Saccharomyces cerevisiae S288C: one gene and its partners. Changing the gene in region 1 together with any one later gene gives a genetic interaction. Each region holds a gene or a part of one and is shown in the gene's direction. Other genes may lie near its edges.

What was found.
Region 2: mutations in CLA4 (region 1) and BCK1 together harm fitness more than expected from each alone (negative genetic interaction), as found in Saccharomyces cerevisiae (9 studies listed by BioGRID, with this or other methods).
Region 3: mutations in CLA4 (region 1) and BEM2 together harm fitness more than expected from each alone (negative genetic interaction), as found in Saccharomyces cerevisiae (5 studies listed by BioGRID, with this or other methods).
Region 4: mutations in CLA4 (region 1) and FAB1 together harm fitness more than expected from each alone (negative genetic interaction), as found in Saccharomyces cerevisiae (5 studies listed by BioGRID, with this or other methods).

What each region holds. Positions count from the first base shown.
Region 1 is NC_001146.8:66,176-72,199, forward strand, and holds CLA4 (serine/threonine protein kinase CLA4), read left to right. Parts: upstream 1-2,739; coding exon 2,740-5,268; downstream 5,269-6,024. Other genes in the region: non-canonical poly(A) polymerase TRF5, read left to right, coding at 342-2,270; MON2 (Mon2p), read right to left, coding at 5,498-6,024. UniProt on the Saccharomyces cerevisiae protein: Involved in budding and cytokinesis.
Region 2 is NC_001142.9:244,722-252,814, forward strand, and holds BCK1 (mitogen-activated protein kinase kinase kinase BCK1), read left to right. Parts: upstream 1-2,533; coding exon 2,534-6,970; downstream 6,971-8,093. Other genes in the region: SAP185 (Sap185p), read left to right, coding at 1-537; enoyl-CoA hydratase PHS1, read left to right, coding at 870-1,523; mitochondrial 54S ribosomal protein bL21m MRPL49, read left to right, coding at 1,769-2,254; KHA1 (Kha1p), read right to left, coding at 7,100-8,093. UniProt on the Saccharomyces cerevisiae protein: Serine/threonine protein kinase involved in a signal transduction pathway that plays a role in yeast cell morphogenesis and cell growth. This pathway seems to start by SMP3; then involve the kinase PKC1 that may act on this kinase.
Region 3 is NC_001137.3:476,575-485,377, reverse strand, and holds the start of BEM2 (GTPase-activating protein BEM2), read left to right. Parts: upstream 1-2,529; coding exon 2,530-8,803. Other genes in the region: Golgi transport complex subunit COG3, read right to left, coding at 1-590; MYG1 (Myg1p), read left to right, coding at 1,037-2,053. UniProt on the Saccharomyces cerevisiae protein: GTPase-activating protein (GAP) for RHO1 and RHO2. Involved in the control of cellular morphogenesis. Required for proper bud site selection and bud emergence.
Region 4 is NC_001138.5:182,466-191,366, forward strand, and holds FAB1 (1-phosphatidylinositol-3-phosphate 5-kinase), read left to right. Parts: upstream 1-2,036; coding exon 2,037-8,873; downstream 8,874-8,901. Other genes in the region: IGD1 (Igd1p), read right to left, coding at 1-396; YFR018C (uncharacterized protein), read right to left, coding at 666-1,757. UniProt on the Saccharomyces cerevisiae protein: The PI(3,5)P2 regulatory complex regulates both the synthesis and turnover of phosphatidylinositol 3,5-bisphosphate (PtdIns(3,5)P2).

The sequences.
Region 1 (6,024 bases):
CCTTGGTCATACTTAATAAAGGAACGTCTGCTTCATTCTCCTAAAGTTCCTTTCGATAAGGACGCAGAAGGCACCTTACTAGACCATTGTATAAACTCATAACTACATACTAATTCAACGATATGTTACATTTATTTTCTTGTGGTTACCCCCCGCAAATTTCCAGGCATCTCATCTCATCGCAGTTAAAAAAAAAAAAGTTGTAAAAAGGTAATAAAGCGATACTTGATGAAAGCAAACATCTGTAATAACAGTTCACAAGGTTAAGCTGGTTCGTTTCACTAGCGTATCATTTTTTATTTTTCAAATAAACAAACGAGGGCGGAGTTTATTGGGTCGTCATGACAAGGCTCAAAGCAAAATATTCACCTACAAAAGGTAAAAGAAAAGAAGATAAACATACAAAACGTATGCGTAAATCATCCTTCACAAGAACGCAAAAAATGCTTGAAGTATTTAACGATAATCGCTCGCATTTTAACAAGTACGAGAGCCTCGCTATCGACGTTGAAGACGATGACACTTTCGGAAACCTAGTCTTAATGGAAAATGATAAAAGTGATGTCGACATACCTGTAATAGAAGAAGTCACATCAAGTGAAGATGAACAAAGGGCAGAATCTAGCAAAAGAAACAATTCTCTCGAAGATAATCAAGATTTTATTGCTTTTTCGGACAGCTCTGAAGATGAAACAGAACAAATAAAGGAAGATGATGATGAAAGAAGCAGTTTTCTGTTGACCGATGAACATGAAGTTTCTAAGCTTACTTCACAGCAATCTCTGAACACTGAAAGCGCTTGCAATGTGGAGTATCCTTGGATAAGAAATCATTGTCATTCGAAACAAAGGAGAATAGCAGATTGGCTAACTTCAGAAATCAAAGATTTCGTTCATTATATCTCTCCAAGCAAGAACGAAATCAAGTGCAGAAATAGAACGATCGATAAACTACGCCGGGCGGTCAAGGAACTGTGGTCGGATGCAGATTTGCATGTGTTTGGTTCTTTTGCCACCGATTTATATTTGCCGGGTTCTGACATTGACTGTGTCGTAAACAGCCGGAATCGCGATAAAGAGGACAGAAATTACATTTATGAATTGGCGAGACATTTGAAAAACAAAGGGCTAGCTATAAGAATGGAGGTTATTGTTAAAACGCGAGTGCCTATTATCAAATTCATAGAGCCCCAATCACAGTTACATATCGACGTTTCATTTGAAAGAACGAACGGGTTAGAGGCTGCAAAACTCATCAGGGAATGGCTAAGAGACTCTCCAGGGTTACGTGAACTGGTACTGATAATAAAACAATTTTTGCATTCAAGACGATTGAACAATGTGCACACAGGAGGATTGGGAGGTTTCACAGTAATCTGTTTGGTTTATTCTTTTTTAAATATGCATCCGCGAATAAAATCAAACGATATCGACGTTCTAGATAACCTGGGTGTTCTACTGATTGACTTCTTCGAACTTTACGGAAAAAATTTTGGTTATGATGACGTTGCTATAAGCATATCTGATGGTTACGCCTCTTATATTCCTAAATCGTGTTGGAGAACTTTGGAACCTTCAAGGAGTAAATTCTCGCTAGCTATTCAAGATCCTGGTGATCCTAACAATAATATAAGCAGAGGCTCCTTTAATATGAAGGATATAAAAAAGGCCTTTGCTGGTGCCTTCGAACTGTTGGTCAATAAATGCTGGGAATTGAATTCTGCTACATTCAAAGACCGCGTTGGAAAAAGTATACTCGGAAACGTGATCAAATACCGTGGGCAAAAGAGAGATTTCAACGACGAAAGAGATTTAGTGCAGAATAAAGCCATCATTGAAAACGAGCGCTACCACAAGAGGCGCACGAGGATAGTTCAAGAAGATTTATTTATAAACGACACCGAAGACTTGCCAGTAGAGGAGATCTACAAACTTGACGAACCTGCAAAGAAGAAACAGAAGGCAAAAAAGGATAAGAGAGAAGGGGAAATCAAAAAGAGTGCCATTCCATCTCCACCTCCGGATTTTGGAGTGAGCAGAAGCAAATTGAAACGCAAAGTGAAAAAAACTGATCAGGGCTCTCTCCTACACCAAAACAACCTCAGCATAGATGACTTGATGGGACTTTCTGAGAATGATCAAGAATCCGATCAAGATCAAAAAGGAAGAGATACCCCTTCGGGACAAGATGAGAAATCACCACTGGAAACTAAGACAGTAGATGCTCAAACGAGAAGGGACTACTGGCTCTCTAAAGGCCAGGCTCTTTAACACAATATAGACTCTTATAGACTATTTACTATTTATACAAGAATACCACATCGATGTCCAAGTGAAACAATAAGCTAATGATATCAAACGCGTGGGTATTTTCCCTTTCCGGAAATATAGAGCCACCAAAAAAGGATAGTTTCCCGATATGGAAATTTTCTCGAGCCGGTAAGATGACGAAATTTTTCATCTCTGGCATGATAGAAACATAGTATGGAACGTGCAGGAGAGTCTGATTCGAGACACATAATTTGAAAGAACCTTCTAGCCTGAGCCTTGTACATGTATTAGCGTTGCCAGTTATTTGCTTCTGCTGCTAATAAGATCAAAACCTTAAGTCCTTTATTTCGATCGAACGTACTGCGCTACTGAAAACCATTGCATCTTTTGCTATCATTCATTCCTGGTGGTTTCTTTGGTGTAATAAATCGAACAGTGAAACTGAAACATAAAAGAAATAGTGCAAAATATGTCTCTTTCAGCTGCAGCGAATAAGATATCTGACAACGATTTCCAAAATATCGGACCGGCACCTAGACCTCCCAGTTCAAATAGCCAGGGCCGTACTTGCTATAATCAAACGCAACCTATAACCAAACTTATGAGTCAACTGGATTTAACATCAGCGTCCCATTTAGGTACAAGTACCTCCAAAAAAAAAAGCGGGTGGGTGTCCTACAAAGATGACGGTATACTTTCATTTATATGGCAAAAGAGATACCTGATGCTACACGATTCGTATGTAGCCCTTTACAAGAACGATAAACAAAATGACGATGCGATCTTGAAGATACCACTAACTAGTATTATAAGTGTAAGCAGGACACAGTTGAAACAATATTGTTTTGAGTTGGTGCGCTGCAGTGACCGAAATTCTGTATCATCAGGATCCTCGTCCTCTTTGAATGTATCATCAGACAGTAACTCCAAAAAATCAATATACATTGCTACAAAGACAGAAAGCGATTTGCATAGTTGGTTAGACGCCATTTTTGCTAAATGTCCATTATTAAGTGGTGTATCTTCTCCAACAAACTTCACACATAAAGTTCACGTTGGTTTTGATCCAGAAACAGGTAGTTTTGTTGGTATGCCCACCAACTGGGAAAAATTATTAAAGCACTCCAGAATTACAGGAGAAGATTGGAACAATAATTCTGCGGCTGTCATTCAAGTGTTGCAGTTTTATCAAGAGTATAATGGAGCCGGAAATCCCACAAATACTTTAGACAAGCCTCAAAGTGGTGAAACTTCCTCCTCTCAAAAATCGCTGCCAAACAGCTATAATGATAACAAACTCAGAAATAATTCAGTAAATTCAAAGTCATCTTCAGGCGTTTCTTCAAGTATGGTATCACAGAGGAAAACCTCACAACCACCAAATACCAAATCGCCTGTTTCTCTAGGAAGCGGCTCACTGCCACCAATAAATACAAAATTGCCCACTAGTCAGTCAAATATTCCAAGACACTTACAAAATGTTCCCAACCAACAATATCCTAAGATGAGAAACGGACACTCCCCAACCAATGGCCAATTTCCTAGGGGACCTATGCATCCAAACAATTCTCAACGATCTTTGCAGCAGCAGCAGCAGCAGCAGCAGCAACAAAAACAACAGCATCAACAATATCCATACCACCATCAAGGACCATCTCCATCTCCATCCCCATCTCCGTCTCCATTAAACCCTTATAGGCCACATCACAATATGATAAATCCTTATTCCAAACAACCTCAATCGCCATTAAGTTCACAGTCGACCCAAAACCAAGCAATTCCACGTTATGCACAAAACTCAAGTCCTACAGCCGCACACTTTCAACCTCAAAGAACAGCTCCAAAGCCACCAATATCAGCTCCAAGGGCGCCATACCCATCAAATCAAAATGCTACTAGTAACACACATGTACAGCCTGTTGCACCTAAGAATGACCAGTCAACCCCACAAACAATGAGGCAGGCCCCAAAGAGACCGGATGCAGATGTCGCACAACCGGGTGGTGTGGCCAAACCGAAGAAGCCAGCAAGGCCTACCATGTCAACTGCAGAAATAATGAGTAAGCTGAAGAAAGTCACCGTAAATGCGGATCCATCTCAATGCTTTAAAGTGATCGAGAAGGCCGGTCAAGGTGCAAGTGGGTCCGTCTACCTTGCAGAGAGGACGCATATTCCGACAGAAAGTAATATGATCGAACTCATAAACAATGATATTGATGAGCCGCACGTAGGAGATAAAGTTGCTATCAAGCAAATGGTCTTATCTAAACAACCTCGTAAAGAACTCATAGTGAATGAAATTTTGGTTATGAAGGATTCACGTCATAAAAATATCGTCAATTTTCTCGAGGCTTATTTGAGAACAGACGATGACCTATGGGTTGTGATGGAGTTTATGGAAGGAGGTTCACTAACAGACATTATCGAGAATAGTCCCACCAACGATAATTCACATTCACCACTAACAGAACCCCAAATTGCATATATCGTACGAGAAACTTGCCAAGGCTTGAAATTTCTACACGACAAGCATATCATTCATAGGGATATTAAATCAGATAATGTCTTGCTGGACACTAGAGCTAGGGTGAAAATTACCGATTTTGGGTTTTGCGCCAGATTAACTGATAAAAGAAGCAAAAGAGCCACTATGGTTGGGACACCTTACTGGATGGCACCTGAAGTTGTCAAACAACGTGAATACGATGAAAAGATTGACGTATGGTCTTTGGGTATCATGACCATTGAAATGCTGGAGGGTGAACCACCATATTTAAATGAAGATCCACTAAAGGCGTTGTACTTAATTGCAACTAATGGTACACCAAAGCTCAAGCATCCAGAAAGTTTGTCTTTAGAAATTAAACGCTTTCTAAGCGTTTGCCTTTGCGTAGATGTTAGATATAGGGCATCAACCGAAGAGCTTTTACACCACGGTTTTTTCAATATGGCATGTGATCCAAAGGATTTGACATCACTGTTGGAGTGGAAGGAATGAAGCACACAACTATTTCTATAAGCATATCATACATACTACAATCTTATGTATTTCTTTTCTTTTAGCTATGCATACCAATGGCATAATATATAAATACGTTCACCTTAAAAGTTTTTTTTTTAAAGTAAATAAAAAAAGACCTGCAACGATACAATAATCAATCCAATGTCGTTTAATATTACTATTTATCCTACGTGATTTTTAAAAATATTCGTCCATGCTTCAGCTTCTAGTCTAGTTTCGTAAATCCAAGTGATAATTCCAAAACTTTATCTTGGAGGCCATCCATTTTATGAGATACTGGGATGGTTCTTAAAATCAACGGACTTAATGTTTGTAGGTTTTCAACTCCAATTTGTTTGTTGCCAAGGGTCGAATTTTGATCTAGAACACCTCTTAAAATCACGCATAGCCCATTTAATAGAGTAGCTAGTTCTGTTTTACGCAATTTTGGTATTGGTGCTCGCCCAATCAAGTATTCATCTGAGATATATCTTCTAAGAGCAAGGGCAATTCTTGCAGAAAGATAAGGAGCAGTTAACTTTCTTAATTTCTCGTTTGTGTTCAACATAAAATTAACCAAATCTTGCAAGCACTCTAAAGAGCACTTATATTTTGTCTGAAAGCGAGGATTTGTGGTGGATCCAAATATACATGAAAAATCGAACGAAGATAGTTTTTGAGACAATTCAGAAAACGTACCACAGTCTTGCATCAAAGCATTTTCTAATTCATCGAATTCATATAAAAATGAAC
Region 2 (8,093 bases), on another chromosome or scaffold:
CCTGATTCTGACGCCACGGAACAAGTTCCAGGTGAAGTGAATCGCGATCATAAGATACCATTGAAGCTTAAGCGAAGTTTTACGGATGCATGCAAATCTGAAACAATACCAAATAATACAGTTAATGCTAAGGAAGAAAGTGTATTTCAATTTAGCAATGAACTTAGTGACGGCTGGGAGTCATCACCTTCTAATTCTATACCCAAGCGTGCTTCTCCATCAAAAAATGGCATGAATTCACCTATGTTTCAACACCAGTTTGAACTTCATAGCCCCACCGATGAATTTGGAGGTCATAAAGACGAAATATTAAGCGCGGAAGGCCATGACTACGACATAGATGAATACGATGAACTGAGCGATGACAGTGATGAAGAGTATGATAACTGTGAAGACGAAGACAGTTTGGATTATGCTGATTCCGCCGCATATGCATTGTGTAGATCCAAAAGTAAGGACAAGATATCATGGGATGAAGAAGAACAGGCGCGATTAATGGGCGTTGTAAAATTTAATTCAGAGCATTACAGGGACTAGGAAATAATACTAATTAAATAATTCTAATAATTCTAATATTAATAACAATAATAATAAGAATAATAATTATACAATAACACATGTATTTCCTAACTCACAATCGTTTGGACTACATATGCTGTCTAGTGCCTTATTGCGACTTTGCCCGTTTGATAACTTACTTCGATTGTTTAGTATTCAAAAAGGAAAAAGGCGTTTTCTTTTTCGTGTACTTTTTTTCGAAATTCTGTTGAATTTATTCGAACTCAGAATTGGTCCATCAAGAGCATCCAAAATACAAAATAACTCATCATCACACAAGAAGAAGCACAACTCCAAGCAATTTCTACAATATGTCAAAAAAACTTGCGTCACCATTGTCCTTCTTACCCCTTTATAATTTGCTTTCTGCTGTTGGTTGGTCTTATTTGCTTTACTTGGTCATCTCCTTGTACCCAAAAGTTGGACAGCCAGCATTCTTCTACCAAACTAAAAATGTCGCTACCCTTGTTCAATGTGGTGCTATAATCGAGATCATAAACTCATTTTTAGGAGTTGTACGTTCCCCATTGCTGACCACTGTTGCACAAGTGTCTTCAAGACTACTAGTTGTCCTCGGCATCTTCCAATTGTTGCCAAACACAAGTGGTGTTCAATCAGTTGTTTACATATCATTATTACTGGCATGGTCTATAACTGAGATCGTCAGATACTTGTATTATTTTTTCATGTTGGTATTCAAGAATGGCGCACCAAAGATCTTAATTCTATTAAGATATAATTTGTTCTGGATTTTGTACCCCACTGGTGTTGCCAGCGAACTACGCATTATTTACTGTGCTTTAAATGCAGCTGAATCTCAGTATTCTTTACTTTACAAAAGAATTTTAATAGCGGCCATGCTCGCTTATATCCCAGGCTTCCCAATGCTCTTCCTACACATGGTAGCACAGAGAAAGAAAGTCATGAAAAGTTTAAGATCCTCTTTCGGGAAGAAACTAATTTGAATTCTTTAGATAAATTCTTCTGTATTTTTTATAAGAATATTAGCCTTCACATTGAAATGGCTTCAACGCTCTTAACCATAATCACTAGTATCTTGCGGTGCACGGGCTTTATATTGAGCAAAATTGCGAAGGGTAGCCGAATTAGAGAACTCTTAGAAAGATGTCGAAGCTCACTCGGAGTCGACCTTCACAGCCTACTGAAACAACTGTGCCGAGACAATCTTAAGTGTGTTGCTCTAATTTTCATGCTACAACTGAAATTCATATGGCCAGTGGCCAGAATCACACCTATTTATAGGCCATTTACCAGTCATCCATTCAGAAATTTAGCTACTTCCTCAAGCATCAGTAGTACAAAAGCTAAGACTACTAAGACAGATACAACTCCACTAAAATTATCAAATGAACTATATGCAATATTCAAGATTCATAATCGTCCATATTTGGTGACCGAGGGCGACAGAGTTATTCTTCCATTCAAATTGAAGCAAGCGGAGGTGGGTGACATTTTAAACATGACCGATGTAACAACTTTAGGATCTAGAAACTACAAGCTAGTTGGTCATCCAATCAATACTTCTCTGTATACTTTAAAAGCAACCGTTGTTGGGAAAACTAAAAGGGCTTTCCAAACTAGGGAGGTAACGAAGAGAAGAAATAGACGGGTCCGTCATGCAAAGAGTAAAGGTGATTTGACAATCTTAAGAATATCAGAACTGAGTATGAACTGAATTTTAGGGATATGTACATATACGCATACGTATAAAATCATGTAAATAACAATAAAATTTGACACACTTTCTTCGGCCCCAATGGCCATTCAATTCCAGACCGACGCGTCTTCTAAGTTATAATGCTATGAAATTTCAACAAGTTAATTAAAAGTAAGCATAATAATAAAATCAGGTAATGGATTCACCAAAAAAAAAAATAAAAAAACAAGGGCAGAGGGGTGACCATTAGTACGAAACACTAAATATAGTATTAAAATAGTTCAACTCCACCTCCAAATGCCCTTTTTGAGGAAAATAGCGGGGACAGCACATACACATTCTAGGTCTGATTCGAACTCATCTGTGAAATTCGGCCATCAGCCGACTAGTTCGGTAGCATCAACCAAAAGTTCAAGCAAAAGCCCTCGTGCAACATCTCGCAAAAGCATTTATGATGATATTAGAAGCCAATTTCCCAACCTAACCCCCAACTCTACCTCTTCTCAGTTTTACGAAAGCACGCCAGTTATCGAACAATCCTTTAATTGGACGACAGATGACCACATCTCAGCTGGAACGCTTGAAAACCCAACGAGCTTTACAAACAGTTCTTATAAAAATGACAATGGACCTAGTAGCCTCTCTGATTCGAGGAAATCCTCCGGTGGCAATAGCGTAAATAGTTTGTCCTTTGACAAGCTAATTCTATCGTGGGATCCTACAGACCCTGATGAATGGACAATGCATCGCGTCACCTCATGGTTTAAATTTCATGATTTTCCAGAATCCTGGATATTGTTTTTCAAAAAGCATCAATTGTTTGGTCACAGATTTATAAAGTTGCTTGCATATGATAATTTCGCTGTTTATGAAAAGTATTTGCCGCAGACTAAAACTGCTTCATATACCAGGTTTCAGCAGTTATTGAAAAAAACAATGACCAAGAACGTAACAAATAGCCATATTCGTCAGAAGAGCGCTAGCAAACTTAAAAGTTCCAGGTCTTCCAGCGAATCGATCAAATCAAAATTAAAAAATAGTAAATCGCAAGAGGATATTTCAAATTCTAGATCAACGTCAGAATCTGCATTGAGCCCAACAAAATCGGGCCCTTCCAAGACCGATGAAAAGAATTTTTTACATTCTACTTCAACACACCAAAAAACCAAAAGCGCAAGTTCACTATACAGAAGAAGTTTTATATCCCTAAGAGGCTCATCATCGAGCAATGCTTCCTCAGCAAAATCACCTTCAAACATCAAGTTAAGTATACCGGCTCGGCCGCACTCAATTATTGAATCTAACAGTACACTTACCAAATCGGCGAGCCCACCTGCATCTCCTTCGTATCCTAGCATATTTAGAAGACATCACAAAAGTAGTTCATCTGAGTCGTCATTATTAAATTCCCTTTTTGGTAGTGGAATAGGCGAGGAAGCTCCAACAAAGCCTAATCCACAAGGTCATAGTCTGTCTAGTGAAAATTTAGCTAAAGGAAAATCTAAACACTATGAAACTAATGTGTCTTCACCTTTAAAACAATCTTCACTACCCACTTCGGATGATAAAGGTAATTTATGGAATAAATTCAAAAGAAAGAGCCAAATAGGGGTTCCTAGCCCAAATACGGTAGCTTATGTAACGTCTCAAGAAACTCCATCCTTAAAATCGAATTCGAGTACTGCTACCTTAACCGTACAAACGGCAGATGTAAATATACCATCTCCATCTTCATCACCACCGCCAATACCCAAAACTGCAAACAGAAGTTTGGAGGTCATCAGCACAGAAGATACACCTAAAATTTCTTCAACCACGGCGTCTTTTAAAGAAACGTATCCTGATTGTATTAATCCAGACAAGACAGTTCCAGTGCCGGTAAATAATCAAAAGTATAGTGTAAAGAACTTTTTACTGGACCAAAAATTTTATCCTCTGAAGAAAACAGGGTTAAATGATAGTGAGAATAAATATATTCTGGTTACCAAAGATAATGTTAGTTTTGTTCCGCTAAACTTAAAAAGTGTAGCAAAATTATCCAGTTTCAAAGAATCTGCTCTCACAAAATTGGGAATCAATCACAAAAATGTCACTTTCCATATGACAGACTTTGATTGCGATATTGGTGCTGCAATTCCAGATGATACTTTGGAATTTTTGAAAAAAAGCTTGTTTTTGAACACTTCTGGAAAAATTTATATCAAAGACCAAATGAAGCTTCAACAAAAACCGAAACCTGCTCCTCTCACCTCAGAAAACAATGTTCCTTTAAAATCGGTGAAAAGTAAGAGTTCAATGAGGTCCGGAACAAGCAGTCTGATAGCATCGACAGATGATGTTTCCATTGTCACTTCGTCTTCTGACATAACATCATTTGATGAACATGCATCAGGAAGTGGGCGCAGGTACCCCCAAACCCCGAGTTATTACTATGACAGAGTTTCCAATACTAATCCAACTGAAGAATTGAATTATTGGAATATTAAAGAAGTTCTTTCTCATGAGGAAAATGCACCAAAAATGGTTTTTAAAACAAGTCCAAAATTAGAACTCAACCTACCAGATAAAGGAAGTAAATTAAATATTCCTACCCCCATAACAGAAAATGAAAGCAAGAGTAGTTTTCAAGTGCTAAGAAAAGATGAGGGGACTGAAATTGATTTCAATCATCGTAGGGAATCGCCTTATACAAAACCAGAACTGGCACCAAAAAGAGAAGCTCCCAAGCCTCCCGCAAATACTTCTCCTCAGAGGACCTTATCAACTTCTAAACAGAATAAACCGATCCGCCTAGTGAGGGCAAGTACAAAAATTTCGAGAAGCAAAAGATCGAAACCATTGCCGCCACAATTATTATCATCTCCTATAGAAGCTAGCAGCTCGTCTCCTGATTCGCTTACTTCCTCATATACTCCTGCTTCGACTCATGTTTTGATACCGCAACCTTATAAGGGTGCAAACGATGTTATGCGTAGGTTGAAAACAGACCAGGACTCGACGAGTACTTCCCCATCTTTGAAAATGAAACAGAAAGTGAATCGCTCAAATTCAACTGTATCGACTTCAAATTCAATTTTCTATTCTCCTTCACCATTGTTAAAAAGAGGTAACTCAAAAAGAGTTGTTTCGTCGACATCTGCGGCCGATATATTTGAAGAGAATGACATAACATTCGCGGATGCTCCGCCGATGTTTGACAGCGATGATAGTGATGACGATTCTAGTTCATCCGATGACATTATCTGGTCCAAGAAAAAAACAGCTCCTGAGACTAATAATGAAAACAAAAAGGATGAGAAAAGCGATAACAGTTCTACGCATTCTGACGAAATATTCTATGATTCTCAAACGCAGGACAAAATGGAGAGAAAGATGACCTTTAGACCATCTCCGGAGGTCGTTTATCAAAATTTAGAGAAATTCTTCCCAAGGGCTAACTTAGATAAGCCAATCACTGAAGGAATAGCTTCACCAACATCTCCGAAATCCTTAGACAGCCTACTTTCACCAAAGAATGTGGCTTCATCGAGAACTGAGCCAAGCACTCCTTCCCGTCCCGTCCCTCCTGATAGCTCATACGAGTTCATACAGGATGGACTTAACGGTAAAAATAAACCATTGAATCAAGCTAAGACACCTAAAAGAACAAAAACCATAAGAACCATTGCACATGAAGCTAGTTTAGCAAGAAAAAACTCTGTAAAACTAAAAAGACAGAACACCAAAATGTGGGGTACAAGAATGGTCGAAGTGACCGAAAACCATATGGTGTCAATTAATAAAGCCAAAAATTCGAAAGGTGAGTATAAGGAATTCGCCTGGATGAAGGGTGAAATGATAGGGAAGGGATCTTTCGGTGCTGTTTATTTATGTTTAAACGTTACTACAGGTGAGATGATGGCCGTTAAGCAGGTTGAGGTCCCCAAGTATAGCTCACAAAATGAAGCCATTCTAAGTACCGTGGAAGCATTAAGATCTGAAGTGTCCACGTTAAAAGATTTAGATCATCTTAATATTGTTCAATACTTAGGTTTTGAGAATAAAAACAATATTTACAGTTTGTTTTTAGAATATGTTGCTGGTGGCTCCGTGGGATCCTTGATTAGAATGTATGGAAGATTCGATGAACCGTTGATCAAACATTTAACAACACAAGTATTAAAAGGATTGGCATACCTACACTCGAAAGGTATTCTCCACAGGGATATGAAGGCAGACAACTTACTTTTGGATCAAGATGGTATCTGCAAAATCAGTGACTTCGGAATTTCAAGAAAATCAAAGGACATATACTCTAATTCGGATATGACCATGCGAGGAACAGTCTTCTGGATGGCTCCTGAAATGGTTGATACAAAGCAAGGCTACAGTGCAAAAGTTGATATATGGTCTCTGGGATGCATCGTTCTGGAAATGTTTGCTGGTAAGCGCCCGTGGTCCAACTTAGAAGTCGTCGCAGCCATGTTCAAAATTGGAAAGTCAAAATCGGCACCACCAATTCCTGAGGACACTTTACCATTGATATCGCAAATCGGACGAAATTTTCTGGACGCATGCTTCGAGATAAATCCAGAGAAAAGGCCAACCGCTAACGAGCTTCTTTCTCATCCTTTTAGTGAAGTAAATGAAACATTCAATTTCAAATCTACCAGACTCGCGAAGTTTATAAAGTCAAATGATAAGTTAAACTCTTCAAAATTAAGGATAACCTCTCAGGAGAATAAAACTGAATAGCTATTAGGATCGATCTATACTTAAGATATTTATGCATACGTAATAATATAGAACAATAAACATAGATGACGGAATGACGGAATGACTGAAAATTAAGAACAAAGAAAATTAAAAAATTTCTGCTGATACTTATTCAGACGAAAAATGGTGCACAATAAGGGTGTCAAAACGACGATTCGACCCTTCAAATATTACAGTCCTCACCTCTTCGCTGAAGGGCTCACTTTCATCAGGAAGGTCCTCTCCAATAATAAAGGTAGTCTCCTCTATATCAGCTAAAGCAGTATCTGATAAACCAACATCAAGCACAGTCTCTATAAAGGACGGCTTTTCAATTGCTTCTTCTGGAACTTTCGTTTCAAAGGGGATATCCACAATTTTAATGGTAGATTCGTTTAGCCAGTCATGCTCAGCAAATGCAGTTGACAAATCTTTTGCGAAATCAATATTCTTGCTGTTAATAAATATACTACAGGATGCATTATCATTATTATAGCCATCTCTATAGCATATCAATAAGAGAAGATATAGTCCAAGATAATCGGATTGTGTCAGGTATGGTTTTGGAAGTAATAAATTGAACCGTTTCCTCTTAAAGCGATCAGCATTTAATCTGCCATAGGTATTTGAAATTTGAACGGCAAAATTTGCCTTGAGTGACTGGAAAATAGACTTGAAGAAAGTAGATGATAGTTCATTCAGACCTAGGAGATGAGAATAAATGTGATCAAAGTTTGCGTATTTTTCATCAATGAAGACTGGGCTCCCTCTATACTCATACGAGGCCCCTTTTAATGGCAATAAGATCAGATCTGTGGAATCCATTTTCATCGTCGCTATATTAGCTGCCTTTTCACGCATTGTAGAAAATATGACTTCACTTGAAAATGGTATTTTGCTCAGGTTTGAAAATATATCAAAAATTTGTAATAGTGAATCTGTATTTGCGGTAAAGTGGGGATCATCATTATATAGAGAAGATGATTGCAGCAGATCAGTTGTCCGTTCAGTGAGCAATCGTAAATGAATGGCCCTCAATGCACCGACTCCCTCAAACGGGGTCAATTTTTCATCTATAACACTTAAATTGGTATCCACATCGTCAACGCTTTTAGACCAGATA
Region 3 (8,803 bases), on another chromosome or scaffold:
TTCTCATCCAAAAAACGTAAAGACTCGTCGATAGTCGCCAACATTGTCGTAAAGGAGCTCTTCTTAACAATAGCGGGAGAAGTGGCATGGTTCAAGCGACGCATTATAGGGTCTAAAACTTCAAAATAATGGAGAGCTTTAGGGATTGACTCAGTTAGATTGCTTAATTTAGACTGCTTTTCATAGATCGTCTTCGTTTCCTCAATGAAAGCTCCAGTATCCTGAGAGATTTTCCGAAATTTCTTGATGGAACTATCCAATTGATCGTTAACCTGGCGTGTTTGATCCAGAACAACTTTATACTCGTCTATCTTAATGTTTAACTGGTCCAAATAGGTAGTATAATACAAATACTTGTTTGTCTTTTTTACATCCGCAGAAGTCGTAGCTTCAGAACCATTAACCTCTGAACAACCTTCTGAGACATCAGTTCTTTGCAGACTGTCAGAATTTTCCACAGCCAAAGATAGCTTTTTTAGCTTATCAAAAAGGTACGAATCGTCCAGTAAACCCACTATGGTCTGAGATTCTGGTATAGTCGGATGAGACGCAATATCTCGAACCAATGAATTCTTTCTACTTCTCGCCATCTTTGGATGTGTCGATAATTCGTGCAATATTGGGTAAAACAATTCATGCTGGGAGTATTTATTGTGTGTCTATAAAGCCAAGACTTTACATAACAATGGACGCAACGACTGCCGTTATACAGGGTAACCTCAATTTGCGCCTCTATATTCTATATTAATACTACTTATGATCCATCCGCAGCTGATACTTAGAGTTACGAGGCAGAGCATCGAAAAATCTGAGCCCACCATTAAGTTGCAATATAAGTACGAATTTTCCTGCTCTTCTCTCGTCTTTGGATTACTGTATTCATTGATAAATCTCTATTATTTTTTTCAGTTTTTCACTTTCTTTTCGAGCGATGGGAACGGCAAATCACGAAAATTTTCTGTCAACGTAGAAAGTAATGATGTGTTAATACTATCGAAAAGCTGTGGAATTGAAGAGCCCAGCCCAAAAAGTCTGCATGAATAGCGTAAAAAGAGTAAAGCTAAATTCAAAAATGTCCAAACAAATATGCACGCATTCCGGATCTTTTCACGCGGACGAGTCGTTGGCGGTATACATGTTAAGGCTACTACCCGAATTTAAAGATGCTAAGTTGGTTAGATCAAGAAATCCCAAGGACTGGGAGGCTAGTGACATTCTAGTGGATGTAGGAGCTCAGTATGACGGCGTGAAATTTTTTGACCACCACCAGCGTGGATTTTTCGAAACTTTCAACGAGAAATACAAGACTAAGCTCTCAAGTGCTGGTCTGATCTTCAAACACTACGGTCGTGACATTATCAAAACAATTTTGAACAACAAGGTTAGCAGCTCTGATTTAGATCTGCTCTATGACAAGGTATACAAACAATTTGTCGAGGCACTGGATGCAAACGACAACGGTATTAGCAAGTACACGATTCCTAAGGATTCCAACTTGGAACCGAATTTCAGGGATAACGCCATCAGCATTCCCGGGATTATTTCAGGTATGAATCCTAACTGGAACGAAGACACTTCCGATGAGTCTTTTGACAGATGCTTTGCTCGCGCAAGTGAGTTTATCGGTGGGGTCTTTGTCACATTGGTAAGAGGCTACGGTCAATCGTGGTTGCCAGCCAAGGCCCTTGTGGCGCAAGCCATTGATGAAAGAATGGATGTTGATAAGAGTGGCAAAATCATTGTCTTGCCCCAATTCTGTCCATGGAAGGAGCATCTATACGAGCTGGAAAGAGAGAAGAACATTGAAAAGCAAATCGAGTTTGTTCTCTTCACAGACTCTTCTGGTGCCTGGAGGGTATCTACTGTACCAATCAACTCCACCTCCTTCCAGTTTAGGAGAGGTTTGCCGGAGCCATTAAGAGGCCTCAGAGACGAAGAGCTGAGCACCAAGAGCGGTGTGCCAGGATGTATCTTCATTCATGCAGCAGGTTTCATTGGAGGTGCCAAGTCCAAAGAGGCTGTATATGAGCTGGCTAAGATGTCTTTGGCCTAGTCGGGAGCGAGCGCTCAGTCAGGTCCCTTATCTATTTAATAATATTTAACAATTCCACTATTTATTCTGTATAGTAAGTAAATCTTTAATGCAAGCAAAAATCTTCCCGCCGCGAATCCTGAAACATATTCCCCTCGGTGAAACACGCTCTTGAAAATGACCTGAGAACACAAGATATCAGACGGCTCTTGTTGCACAAAAAACAAAAACAAAAGAAGCAAGCTACGTTGCAGCCACTGGTACTGTCTGCTAACTCAAACATTCTTTTTCATTTTTAATATACAGATTTCGTATTCTCCCGTTCCCGCTATACGCAATTTTCTTTCTTTTTTTTCCCTCTTTGGTTAGGAGACTGCAGATCAGTCCCATTTTTTCCAACAGAACAAACAAGCAAACGTTTCAGTTTAAAAGAACACACGGTCGTCGTGCCTTTTCTGGATAGACACAAAAAAAACAAATAACGAAGCAGGAGTCTAATGAAAGGTCTTCTCTGGTCTAAGAACAGGAAATCTTCAACGGCCAGTGCTAGTTCAAGCTCAACTTCCACGTCTCATAAGACAACTACTGCGTCTACAGCATCGTCGTCGTCGCCGTCATCATCCTCTCAAACTATTCGAAACTCGACAAGCGGTGCTTCTCCATACATGCATTCCCACCATCACCATGGCCAGGGACACAGTCACCACAGAGGGGAAGACAACAACAGAGATAAGAGAAAAAGCTCCGTATTTCCACCCTCCAAGCAGTACACATCCACTAGTTCCAGTCAGGTGAACTTGGGGATGTATCATTCGGATACTAACACCAGATCTTCTAGAAGCATAGCCTCTACGCTAAAAGACGATTCTCCGTCTGTCTGCTCCGAAGATGAAATAAGCAATTCTTCTAGCCAGAAGTCCAATGCCCAGGATGAGACTCCCATTGCGTACAAGAAGAGTGCCCATTCGAAAGACTCATTGTTGCCTTCACGTTCCTCGTCTTTATCACCTCCTCAGTCTCGATGTAGCACTGGAACTACGCTAGAGAAATCGTTGAACACTTCAGGTATCAGTAACAGTAGCGGCACTAATAATAACAATAGCAATAATAACAACGATAACGAGCAAAAGCAAAGAAATGTTATCCACTTAAACTCTGAAAACTATGATACAACTGTTTTTAAGACTGGATGGGTTAATAAGTCCCATGGCCAGACTGTTGCTACAAACTATAATAGCTCAATGACAGCCCCTTCCTCTTCCTCTTCGTCCTCCTCTCAGAATCTCCGTAATGATGCGTATTCTAGAAACAGGGAAAGCAGGTTTTATGGGAACGACGGTTCGTCTTTAAAAAATGATGACAGCAGTAGTACTACGGCCACTAACAGTGGCAATGATGTGGCCTCAGCAAGAAGCAGCATGGCTATAGATCCTCAAATGCTAGTACCTGATTACCGTCTTTATAGGGCTCAATTGAAAGGTTGCGTTCTCAACCTTTACAAAAGTGGTTTGAATAGTAACATTAAGTTTTTTGATCCAACTTTACCAGCTTCAAATAGTAGTATAGCAAATGAAAACCATCAACAGAAAAAACAACAAACAAACAACCAAGCACAAGCGGAAGCTCTGCACCAAAAGCAATCATTTGGCCAAATGGGTGAACCTATTACACTGGACCTGAAGTATTTATCTGAAGTTTACCCGCACCCAGATTTAAGACAAGACAGTGATGGTAAAATTATATCAGGCACAATAGAAAGTTTATGTCACACAGTCTTATTTTACCCCGGTCCAAAGCAATCGGACGTACCTAATGAGAAATCATTATCTAAGACACATAGAGCTGTTATTAATCTGTTATTGATGTTTCCATTACTAGATCATTTCATTAAGTTTCTAAAGGTATTCAACCAATTCGGTCTTTCTTTTACCAAGAATAAATCAAGATTGACAAATAATTCCACACAATTCTACAACATATCCCCTGCTGTCGATGACTCCATGACTCAAAGATTAGCTTTAACTGCTAAAACAATCCTTGATGTATTTCCGGGATTTTTGCTGGATGAACCAATGCTGAAGACTATAATTTCCTTATTAGATACTATATCTTTGCATAACGATGAAATTTCCAACAATTTGAAAATTAAAATCGCCAATAAACATAACGAATTAATGAAACTTACCGCATTCACTCGATCTCTTCCAATGGCAACATCATCTACACATGAATTAGAGATTATATTGGATCCAAGTCATTTCCTGTCTTTAGACATTACAACATTGGCTGATGAAGTTCATCATATCAATTTAAAGTTTGATAAAGTATGGGCACCGAAATTTGACTATTCTCTGCTGTATGATTCGAAGTTTATTAATCGAAGAATTGTCTCGTTAAATCCATTGGTATTCAACAACGACCAAAATATCCATTTTCTTGGAAGGCTACTAATATCACATTTATTTCCAACAAATCCTGAGTTTAGTAAAAAAGTGACTCCAAAAGTGAGAGCTGAGTTATTAGATAAATGGGTCCAAATTGGCTGTAGATTTGAACATTTAGGAGACATGGTATCATGGCTAGCTGTCGCCACTATCATTTGTTCAATTCCTGTACTAAGGTCATCTTCATGGAAATATGTTCCTGATCAGTCATTGAAAACTATTTTTAAAGATTGGGTTCCTACCATTATTCAGTTAGAGAGGCGACAAAGGACATCTAAATCTACAAGTAGTGTTTTCATACTCGCTCCTCCAAATCTGGATGACGACTTTACGAGAGCTAACGTGATTTCTTATTTTGGCGATTTATTAATTCATGCTGATGATTTACCATCTGATACGAAATTCAAGTACTTGGAAAAGAAAATTAACAGAACAAAAAACGCTTTTCATAAATGGCAACAAAGATTACAAGCAATCGACTCTACGAGACATAAAACTAATTCGACAGAAAACGTCAGGGATAATGATTCTCCTAATAACGTTGTTTATCAGCTCTGGAAATTTCATTTATCACAACCTCCGTTGAACATTGAAGGAATAATGAAATTAAGTGTCCAACACGAACCTCCAATAATCGACCAGAAAGCGTATTCTACTATTGGTTCTCAAAGGAGTGCTTTAGTAACTGGAAGTTATTTACCCATTTTATTCAATGAACTATTCCCAAATTATTCACTATTTCCTAAGAATACATTAGTGGGTGCTGCCAGTGATGCGAAGTTGCCGCCTCCAAGATCATCCGCGCGCCTCTCAAAATCACTTTCAATCAGTGAACCAATTCCAATAGCTTCAAACAGTCACACTATGGGCTCATTAACAGATGATGCTATGTCCTCAAAAAATGATAATAATAAAGTTACAGGTGTTGGAAAAATTGACGGACCTGTGATCAAAGAGATGTCGTCAAAACAATCAAATAAACAGAGACTATTAAAATCTGTGAGAGATGTTTTTAATATTGACATGGATGTGTTTCATATATCAGATGAGTTAGTATTTAAATCGGTATACGATAATGATGGTAAATCCCGTCCTGCTAGTATGGTCATAGAAACACCAAAGAGATTCTCACAACACTCTTCCATGCTTATTAATAATCCAGCTACTCCAAACCAAAAGATGAGAGATTCCTTGGATACCACTGGAAGACTAAGTAAGACATTAGAAAATATGGACTTTTTCAACAATATTGGTCAAGTATCAGATTCACTAAAAGAATCGATTATTCGTGTCGTATTGAAATCGTCGTCGCTAGAAAAGATTTTTGATTTACTGGTATTAACTTCAAATATCTTTTCAAAATTGGTAGACACTAAAGACCTTGAGAATTATTACTATCATCAAAGACAAAGGGGTCATTCTACCAGAGGGCTTTCCGATGATAACATAGGACTACTAGATTATGCATTCGTTAAACTAACTATGGACAATGATATTTTCACAGAAACATTCTTCAACACTTATAAAAGCTTTACTACTACAACTACGGTATTAGAAAATATGGCAAAACGGTATGTTGGTGCAAAGAGTTGCAGCGTGTCAATTTCCAAGATTTTAGATCGCAGTGATGATTCTAAAATGAAGATAAATGAGGATACAAATTTAGTGTCCTCTTCATTATACGACCAAAATTTTCCTGTTTGGGATATGAAAGTAACTGACGATGAAAACATAAACCTTATTTATATGGCAAAAATCCAAATCGGCGCCGCGGAAGCTATACTACATTTAGTGAAAAATCATTACTCTGACTTTACTGACGATTTATGTAACAACTCTACTCTATTGGATATTATAAAAATAATGGAACAAGAAGTATCCACTGAATGGCCTACGCGAATTGCAAACTCAAAGTTACAAAAAAGCCTACCAGAAAATTTTGTGATTGAAACAGAAAATTTGTTGACTACGTTAACTGATCTATTTCATGGTATTAAATCAGCATACCAAAAGCAACTATACAGACCTATTGGTGTCAATAGAACTCAGAAGAGAATAACTGACATTTTGAATTCCTTTAACACATTCTCTTTTACAGATCTTAACAACATCATTGATGATCCTTCCTTTAGCGATGACATGATTAGATCTTTTCAAAAGTTACACTCAACCAATTACGAAGATATACTAGAATGGATCTACCAGTTAGATAACTTTATTTCTAAGAAGTTCAATTTAGTTTCTAAGAAAGATTGGATAGTTCTTTTCCAGGAGTTGGAATTGCTTTCAAAGGAATCTCTGGTCTCTTTTTTCAATTATCCGCTACATTTTAAGTCAAGCAAATTGATAAACCCCGGATATTTGCAATTGCACGAGTTTGAAATTTCCAATCTTTTTACTTGGATTTCTACATTGATTCTTAAGGATGATAATGGTACGGAGAGTCTTTTTTTTGAAAAACTACCACAATCTATAAAATTGTTAATAAAGTTACACACGAGTCTAACTACGTTTTTCGTGATGGAAATTTCAAACGTCAACAAAAGCAGTAGTGAAAGGTTAACTACTTGTAAAGTTATATTACAAATTTTGAACTACATCCGCTGGAAAAACGGAAGTTTGGATTTATTTGATTCAGAGGAGGATGAAAGTCCTCATGCTATTTGTCCACACATTCCAGCTTTTATTGAAACTGCTATTGCGCATGCCATAATATCACCAGAGTCTAGAAACTATGAACTTTCGTGGATCAAAGCTTCTGAAAAACTTTCGGACCCTACTAAAGGAACCCAAAATCTAAGATCGATTAGTAACGTTTTAGAGAAGATAGATGACATACATATAAAGAGATTCATTGAGATTGATGATGTATTCAGCAAAAACTGCAAGAATTTATGCCCCTGCCCTGGTTGGTTCATTTCAAGGTTACTAGAAATATCTCAGTTTGTCCCTAACATGAGTATCACTAATTCGAAACTTATTAATTTTGACAAAAGGAGATTTGTTAACAACATAATATCTAATGTCTTGGATTTAATTCCGAACGAAAGGGAGTTTCCACTTGATATTGAAATGAGTGACGAAAATCCTTCGAAAAGAACTACATTTGGCCGCATTCTGTTCAATAATTTTGAAGATGTTAATAAAGTATACAGAAAGAAGACTAAAAAAGTATCAGAATCAGAAGCCATATCGGAGAGATTTCAAGAGCAGGGAGTATTTAATGAAATACTAGTCAATGAAATTGAAAAAATAAAGAGGGAAGCCAGAAAATTAGAGGTTTTACTCGATCAAGAAAAGATCTTGAAGAACTCTGCTGCTTTACATCAGGCCGTTCCGAAAAAGAATAGGAAGTCTGTTATTATCTCAGGTACTCATAGTGACAACGATCATAGCTATAATATCAATAAGAACACCGGTCAAACGCCTTCTCTAGGTAGTGTTATGGAAAGCAATAATTCAGCAAGGAATAGAAGAGATTCAAGGGCCTCCTTTTCCACAAATAGATCATCAGTAGTGTCAAATTCCAGCCATAATGGTGTTAGTAAAAAAATAGGTGGATTTTTCAGAAGACCATTTTCAATCGGTGGATTCAACACATCCAGTTCTAATTATTCACTCAACAGTATATTATCGCAAGAAGTTTCAAGTAACAAATCCATTCTACCAAGTATACTTCCAGAGGTTGATTCCATGCAACTACACGACTTAAAACCTAGTTATAGTTTGAAGACCTTTGAAATCAAGTCAATAATGGAAATAATCAATCACAGAAACATTCCGGCTTACTACTATGCGTTCAAGATAGTTATGCAAAATGGCCATGAATATCTGATTCAAACGGCTAGTTCTAGTGACCTCACAGAATGGATAAAAATGATCAAGGCTTCCAAGAGATTTTCATTCCATTCGAAAAAATATAAAGGTAAAACTCATAATAAGATATTTGGGGTACCATTAGAAGACGTTTGTGAAAGAGAGAATACCTTGATACCTACAATTGTTGTGAAATTGCTGGAAGAGATTGAGCTGCGTGGGCTAGATGAAGTGGGATTGTACAGAATTCCTGGTTCCATCGGCAGTATAAATGCACTAAAGAACGCATTTGACGAAGAAGGTGCAACAGATAATTCCTTTACATTAGAGGACGATAGATGGTTTGAAGTGAATGCGATCGCAGGCTGTTTTAAGATGTATTTAAGAGAGTTACCAGATTCTTTATTTTCTCATGCTATGGTGAACGACTTTACCGATTTGGCGATTAAGTATAAAGCACATGCAATGGTAAATGAAGAATACAAGAGAATGATGAATGAGTTACTCCAAA
Region 4 (8,901 bases), on another chromosome or scaffold:
TGTATGGGAGATGGAGTCACCCATATCCACGCCAGCGTGGCTCAGGTCAGAGTCGTTAGTGGTCCTGTATTGCATATTGTGGATAGTATTCTGGAAATCCATGGGTCCGCTACTCCTACGTTCGGCTCCCGGGGCGTGCTCCCCGATACTGCTTTCGCGTTCCCGGGCTTGTTCCCTGGAATTTAGTGCGTCCATATAATTGGTAGACCGCCGTCTAATCATGGGGACTGGCTTGTCTACGCTTTGAGCGGGAGCGCTTGGACCCGGGAGGTTGAATGTAGAAACACTAGGTGTTTCCTGTGCACAGGGCGGTTCGTCGATGTTGAGGAAGTCCTGTGATCTTTCAAATGTGGGTGACGTGCTCACTTGGGGCGTGTTCAAGTGGGGATCTGTCATGAGGGTGAGTGTATGCGTGTGTGTGTGTGTTGCGTAGATGTGTGATTTACTATGTGTTATGTAGCTGCTCTCATCGCTGCTGATAGTAGATCTCTCGCGCAAAAATTACTCAGGCAAACCTTTACTATACCTACATATATATATATATATATGTATATGTATGTGTGCAAGCTTTTCAGAGTGGTGCACTGACATTGACCGGGCCACTCATTCCACCCCACATCCCCCAGATCAGGGGGAGATGTTAACGAAAGGAAACAGGGGATTTATCACTGGTTACGGGAGCGTAGTGACTGTACTACAAATTCGCACACAAGCAGCGCCCAGTGACGAGTCTCCGCGGCGTCTAAGTGCCGGAAGTCATCATCCACGGTGTGCCATGTACTTGGGAATGGTAGCGGGATTGCATGTAATACGGGTACTCCGGCGGCCAGGAATGGCGTGTGGTCGTCTCCGATGACCGAATGCCCGAGCCCTAAAAATCGATAGTCCGTGGGGTCCAGATGTTTGCGTTGACGCGCGACTTCGGCGGCTAATGCCGATTCGCCGTTGATTTCATCTCCACGTCGAAATAACAAGTCATCCTCTATTCGATTGAGCAGCTGATATTCTTGATGTGTCTCTGCATAGTAGCTGGGCACTAGCGGCTCCTCTTCGCCACTTCCTAAAAGATCCAGAAGAAATAATAGGCGAATTCTTGTCATCGTGCCGTCAGCAAGCCATTGGGCGGCTAATCGGCGTGCTCCATAAATCGAGTCCTCGGGGCCCCACTCTTCAATGGCCTCCTCTCCATCAAAGAATACGATCTTTACACCCAAGGTAGAATTCGATACTACAGTGTTCGACTCTAAGTCATTGTACTCTTTCGTGCGCTCGTGGCACGCGATGTGCGTTAGGAACTGGGCCGTATATAGCAGCGCGGCACACGAGGCGGCACTGTCGATAGCGCCCACCATCCCCGTGGGCGCTATCTTGGTATCATAATGAGCAGCGAGCACTAAGTACTCGCTCGCATTGTTTTGTAATGTCATAACAAGGTTATTGAAGCGGTAACCGTTCTCCTCAAAGGCTTGCGTCTCAACGGCCCATTCTCCCGCCAGCGTATTGTTGAAGTGCTCGATGATGAAGCGCTGGATCTCGCGCGAGCCTTCCGATCCGGGTACGCGCGTTCTGTTAAAAGGCAACAGCAGGTTCTTGGTACTTTTGTTCCAACCGCTGTCTGGGTTGATAGCTTCGTTCAGATGCGCTGCATGGTACTGCTCATATGACAACTCCCACCCAGTTACCCTATGCACCTGAAATAGCACCAACAGGTACGCTAGACCAATTAGTCGCAAAGGCAATACGTACTTCATTCCCATGCTTACGACCTTTTCAGTCTTTTTATTTCTTTTCTGTTGACTCTCTCTAACTCTCCCTCTCCCCCTCTTCTTCCCATGAAATGTATCACAAGCCGTCTTATTCCTTTGCTTCTTATATTCTTATGTTCCTTCCTTCGTCTCGCCTCGAAGGCAACGCAAACGCAATGTACTTCTTGACGAACGCGAAAACCATATGGAAAGTAAATAAAGGGCCAAACAAAAAACTATTTCGAATAGCAAGGTAGCTTCCATCCTGTACATGCAAGACCGTCACACAGCATGTCATCGGAAGAACCCCATGCATCTATATCCTTTCCAGATGGCTCACATGTCCGGTCGTCCTCCACTGGTACTTCATCTGTGAACACAATCGATGCTACCTTATCCAGACCGAACTATATTAAGAAACCGTCCCTGCACATTATGTCGACATCTACGACGTCGACTACGACGGATCTAGTGACAAACCCAATTCTGAGCAATATCTCCGTGCCAAAAATAAGCCCCCCCACATCATCCTCGATAGCAACAGCGACATCAACAAGTCACGTGACCGGCACTGCGTCGCATTCGAACATTAAAGCTAATGCTAACACTAGTACCAGCGTGAATAAGAAAAATTTGCCGCCAACAACTAGTGGGAGGATACCCTCTAGCACCATCAAGAGATATCCGAGTCGCTATAAGCCTTCTCACTCGCTGCAGCTGCCCATTAAGAACGACTCCAACTTTAAACGATCTAGCATATATGCCTCCAAATCCACTGTTACTGCTATCCCCATTAGGAACAATCGGCCAATTTCCATGCAGAATTCCTATGCGCGCACTCCTGACAGCGATCATGACGACGTTGGCGATGAAGTGTCTTCGATAAAGAGTGCCTCTTCTTCGTTGACCGCATCCCTGTCCAAGAGTTTCCTGTTCGCATTTTATAACAACCGCAAGAAGGACAAGACCAGTAACAATGGTGTCCTCTCAAAGGAATATTGGATGAAGGACGAGAGTTCTAAAGAATGTTTCAGTTGTGGTAAAACGTTTAACACTTTCAGAAGGAAACACCACTGCAGGATATGCGGCCAAATTTTTTGCAGCAGTTGCACTCTCTTGATAGATGGTGATCGATTCGGCTGTCATGCCAAGATGCGAGTATGTTACAATTGTTATGAGCATGCAGACACATACGAGGACTCCAGTGATGAAGAGAATGATTCTACAATGCAATTGAATGAGCCAAGGTCTCGCTCTCGCTCTCGTTCTTCCAATACCAATCCATATTCTCATTCACATTCGCATTTGCATCTCATTTCACAGGACAACCATAACGGTACCGATCTCCATGATCCAGTAGCAGCAACGGATAACCCTCAACAGCAGAATGAGGTCTACCTATTAAATGACGATGACGTACAAAGTATAATGACCTCAGGTGAAGATTCTAAATTGTTCATTTCTACACCCCCACCACCACCGAAGATGGCCATCCCAGCAACAAAGCAAGGCGGATCGCTGGAAATCTCATTCGATTCGGAAAACGATAGGGCTTTGCATTATCAAGATGACAACCCCGGTCGCCATCATCACCTCGATTCCGTGCCCACAAGGTACACTATCAGAGATATGGACAATATATCACATTACGATACCAACTCTAATTCCACTTTGAGGCCACATTATAACACCAATAACAGCACTATTACCATCAACAACCTCAACAACACTACTTCCAACAACAGCAACTATAACAATACCAATAGCAACAGCAACATCAATAATCCTGCGCATTCCTTAAGAAGGTCTATTTTCCATTATGTAAGCAGCAATAGTGTTAACAAGGACAGTAACAATAGCTCTGCAACACCCGCTTCGTCTGCACAGTCTTCTTCCATACTGGATCCTGCCAATCGTATTATCGGGAATTATGCTCATAGAAATTACAAGTTTAAATTCAACTACAATTCCAAAGGTCCTTCGCAACAAAATGACACGGCAAATGGAAATAATGATAATAATAATAATAATAATAATAATAATAATAATAATAATAATAACAGTGCCAGCGGTATTGCTGACAACAATAACATTCCCTCAAACGACAATGGCACGACGTTCACTCTAGATAAGAAGAAAAGAAACCCACTGACAAAATCTAAATCTACGTCCGCTTACCTAGAATATCCTCTAAACGAGGAAGACTCTTCTGAGGACGAAGGTTCCATGTCCATATATTCTGTATTGAATGATGACCATAAAACTGACAATCCAATTAGATCAATGAGGAACTCCACAAAATCTTTTCAACGAGCGCAAGCTTCACTACAGCGGATGAGGTTTAGAAGGAAAAGTAAAAGCAAGCATTTTCCCAACAATTCGAAAAGTTCCATTTATAGAGACTTAAATTTCTTGACCAATAGTACTCCCAATTTACTTTCTGTAGTAAGCGACGATAATCTATACGACGATTCTTCTCCTTTGCAAGACAAGGCCTCTTCATCCGCTGCAAGCAGACTCACTGACAGAAAATTCAGCAATAGCAGTGGCAGCAATAATAATAGCAATAGTAATAGCAATATCAACACCGATCCTTGGAAGAGAATCGCTAGTATATCGGGATTCAAACTGAAAAAGGAAAAAAAGAGAGAATTAAATGAAGTCTCTCTTTTACATATGCATGCCCTATTAAAACAATTATTGAATGATCAAGAAATTTCCAATCTTCAAGAATGGATAACCCTTCTAGATGGCGCTTTGCGTAAAGTTTTAAGGACCATCCTGAACGCGAGGGATTTGAACACATTAGATTTTAGACAAACTTACGTTAAGATAAAAAGAATTAGTGGTGGATCTCCTCAAAATTCAGAATATATCGACGGGGTTGTCTTTTCGAAAGCATTGCCGTCGAAAACAATGCCACGGCATTTGAAAAACCCAAGGATACTATTAATCATGTTTCCACTGGAGTACCAAAAGAACAATAACCACTTTCTAAGTATAGAGTCCGTCTTTAGGCAAGAGCGCGAATATTTGGATAAACTTGTTTCGAGATTAAAGTCATTACATCCTGATATTATATACGTCGGCGCCAATGTTAGTGGGTACGCGTTAGAACTATTAAATGACTCAGGCATTGTCGTACAGTTTAATATGAAACCACAAGTCATTGAAAGAATTGCCAAGCTAACAGAAGCAGATATTGCCATTTCTGTGGATAAGTTGGCTACGAATATTAAGATGGGTGAATGTGAAACTTTTGAAGTTAAAAGCTACATTTATGGAAACATCAGTAAAACATATACATTTCTTCGGGGCTGTAACCCAGAACTTGGTGGAACAATTTTGTTAAGAGGTGATAGTCTTGAAAACTTGAGAAAAATCAAACAAGTCTCTGAATTTATGGTCTACGCAATTTTTTCATTGAAGTTGGAAAGTTCATTTTTTAACGATAATTTCATACAACTTTCTACAGATGTTTATTTGAAGAGAGCTGAATCCAAAAAACTGCAAGTTTTCGAAGGTTATTTTGCAGATTTCTTGATCAAATTCAATAACAGGATTTTGACTGTATCACCAACGGTAGATTTCCCCATTCCCTTTTTATTGGAAAAAGCCAGAGGCTTGGAAAAGAAGCTCATAGAAAGGATCAATCAATATGAAAGCGAATCTGATTTAGATCGGCAAACGCAACTAAATATGCTTCAAGGCTTAGAATCGACTATCACTAAGAAACACTTAGGAAATTTAATAAAATTCCTGCATGAAATGGAAATTGAAAATTTAGAGCTTGAGTTTCAGAAGAGAAGTCGTCAATGGGAGGTTTCATATTCATCATCACAGAACTTACTTGGTACGGGCTCACACCAGTCTATAACAGTTCTCTACTCAATGGTTTCAACAAAGACTGCCACACCTTGCGTTGGCCCTCAAATTGTTACTATTGACTATTTTTGGGACAGTGATATTTCCATTGGTCAGTTTATCGAGAACGTCGTGGGAACTGCCAGGTATCCCTGCCAACAAGGCTGTAATGGTCTGTATTTGGATCATTATAGAAGCTATGTTCATGGGTCAGGAAAAGTAGACGTTTTAATCGAAAAATTCCAAACTAGATTACCAAAATTAAAAGATATTATCCTCACGTGGAGTTATTGTAAAAAATGTGGGACATCTACTCCGATTTTACAAATTAGCGAAAAAACCTGGAATCATTCTTTCGGTAAATATTTAGAAGTCATGTTTTGGAGTTACAAAGATAGCGTGACAGGAATTGGGAAATGTCCTCATGATTTCACTAAAGATCATGTCAAATACTTTGGTTACAATGATTTAGTGGTTCGACTAGAATATTCTGATTTAGAAGTTCATGAATTGATAACCCCACCACGCAAAATAAAATGGAAACCTCATATCGACATCAAACTGAAGGTGGAACTATACTATAAGATTCTGGAAAAGATCAATAATTTCTATGGGAGTGTCCTAAGTCGGTTGGAACGTATTAAATTGGATAGTATGACTAAAGATAAAGTTCTTAGTGGACAAGCTAAAATTATCGAATTGAAGAGCAATGCTACAGAGGAGCAAAAATTAATGTTGCAAGACCTGGATACTTTTTACGCAGATAGTCCTTGCGATCAACATTTACCATTGAACCTGGTTATCAAATCTCTATACGATAAGGCTGTAAATTGGAACTCTACATTTGCGATATTTGCAAAAAGCTATTTGCCTTCTGAAACTGATATTAGTCGTATCACGGCCAAGCAGCTGAAAAAACTGTTTTACGATTCTTCAAGAAAAGACAGCGAAGACAAAAAATCACTTCATGATGAAAAGGCGAAGACGAGGAAACCAGAAAAGAACGAATTACCGTTAGAGGGATTGAAAGATGTCGAAAAGCCGAAAATTGATAGCAAGAATACGACAGAGAATCGTGACAGAACGAACGAACCACAGAATGCCGTGACGATAACCACTTTTAAAGACGACACTCCAATTATTCCAACAAGTGGTACTAGTCACTTGACAGTTACACCTTCTGCATCGTCGGTTTCTTCTTCTTTGACCCCTCAAACCGAAGAACGTCCGCCAATAAGCAGAAGTGGAACAGGTATATCTATGACTCATGATAAAAGCACTAGACCTAACATAAGAAAAATGAGTAGTGATAGTAGTTTATGTGGACTAGCATCACTTGCTAATGAATATAGTAAAAATAATAAGGTGAGTAAGCTAGCTACATTTTTCGATCAAATGCATTTTGATGCCCTGTCGAAAGAATTTGAACTGGAACGTGAAAGGGAAAGATTACAACTTAATAAGGATAAATACCAAGCCATACGATTACAAACATCCACACCAATTGTGGAAATTTATAAAAATGTCAAAGACGCAGTTGATGAACCGCTTCACTCTAGAAGTTCAGGCAATAATTTGTCATCTGCGAATGTTAAGACTTTGGAGGCACCTGTGGGAGAACATTCCCGGGCCAATAATTGTAATCCTCCTAATTTAGATCAAAACTTGGAAACTGAATTAGAAAATTCCATTAGCCAATGGGGAGAAAACATTTTGAACCCCTCTGGAAAGACCACCGCAAGTACTCATTTAAATTCTAAGCCAGTAGTAAAGGAAACTTCAGAAAATCCAAAGTCAATAGTTAGAGAATCAGATAATTCAAAGTCGGAGCCGCTTCCACCTGTAATAACAACAACAACTGTCAATAAGGTAGAATCCACTCCACAACCTGAAAAATCATTATTGATGAAAACCTTGAGCAACTTTTGGGCAGATCGATCTGCGTATTTGTGGAAACCCCTTGTTTATCCAACCTGTCCTTCGGAACACATTTTTACTGATAGTGACGTTATAATCCGCGAAGATGAACCAAGTTCCTTGATCGCATTTTGCTTAAGTACTTCTGACTATAGAAATAAAATGATGAACTTGAATGTCCAGCAACAACAGCAGCAGCAAACAGCAGAAGCTGCTCCTGCCAAAACAGGAGGAAACAGTGGAGGAACTACGCAAACCGGGGATCCTTCTGTTAACATTTCTCCCTCAGTTTCTACAACTTCTCATAATAAGGGGAGGGACTCAGAAATTTCATCCTTAGTAACCACCAAAGAGGGCTTGTTGAACACCCCTCCCATTGAAGGCGCCCGAGATAGGACCCCACAAGAATCACAAACGCATTCCCAAGCAAATTTAGATACTCTTCAAGAATTAGAGAAAATTATGACAAAAAAAACAGCCACACACTTGAGATATCAATTTGAGGAGGGTTTAACGGTAATGTCATGTAAAATTTTCTTCACAGAACATTTTGACGTGTTTAGAAAGATTTGTGATTGTCAAGAAAACTTCATTCAAAGTTTGTCAAGATGTGTTAAATGGGATTCCAATGGGGGGAAAAGTGGGAGCGGGTTTTTAAAGACTTTGGATGATAGATTTATTATAAAGGAGCTGTCACACGCAGAACTGGAAGCCTTCATAAAATTTGCACCAAGTTATTTTGAATACATGGCACAAGCAATGTTCCATGATTTGCCCACGACTTTGGCTAAAGTATTTGGGTTTTATCAAATTCAAGTAAAAAGCTCTATTTCAAGTTCCAAAAGTTATAAAATGGACGTTATCATTATGGAGAACTTATTTTATGAGAAGAAAACAACAAGAATATTTGATTTGAAGGGTTCCATGAGAAATAGACATGTCGAACAAACAGGTAAAGCTAATGAAGTGTTGTTGGATGAAAATATGGTAGAGTATATTTACGAATCACCTATTCATGTTCGCGAATATGACAAGAAACTTTTAAGAGCTTCTGTTTGGAACGACACATTATTTTTGGCCAAAATGAATGTGATGGATTATTCCTTAGTCATTGGTATTGACAATGAAGGGTATACTTTGACAGTAGGAATCATTGATTTCATTCGAACGTTTACATGGGACAAAAAACTAGAAAGTTGGGTCAAAGAGAAAGGCCTAGTAGGGGGGGCCAGTGTGATCAAGCAGCCTACCGTTGTTACACCAAGACAATATAAAAAACGTTTTAGGGAAGCAATGGAGAGGTATATTTTGATGGTTCCTGATCCGTGGTATAGGGAAGGAAATTAATACATAAACGTGTACAAGTTATATTCTG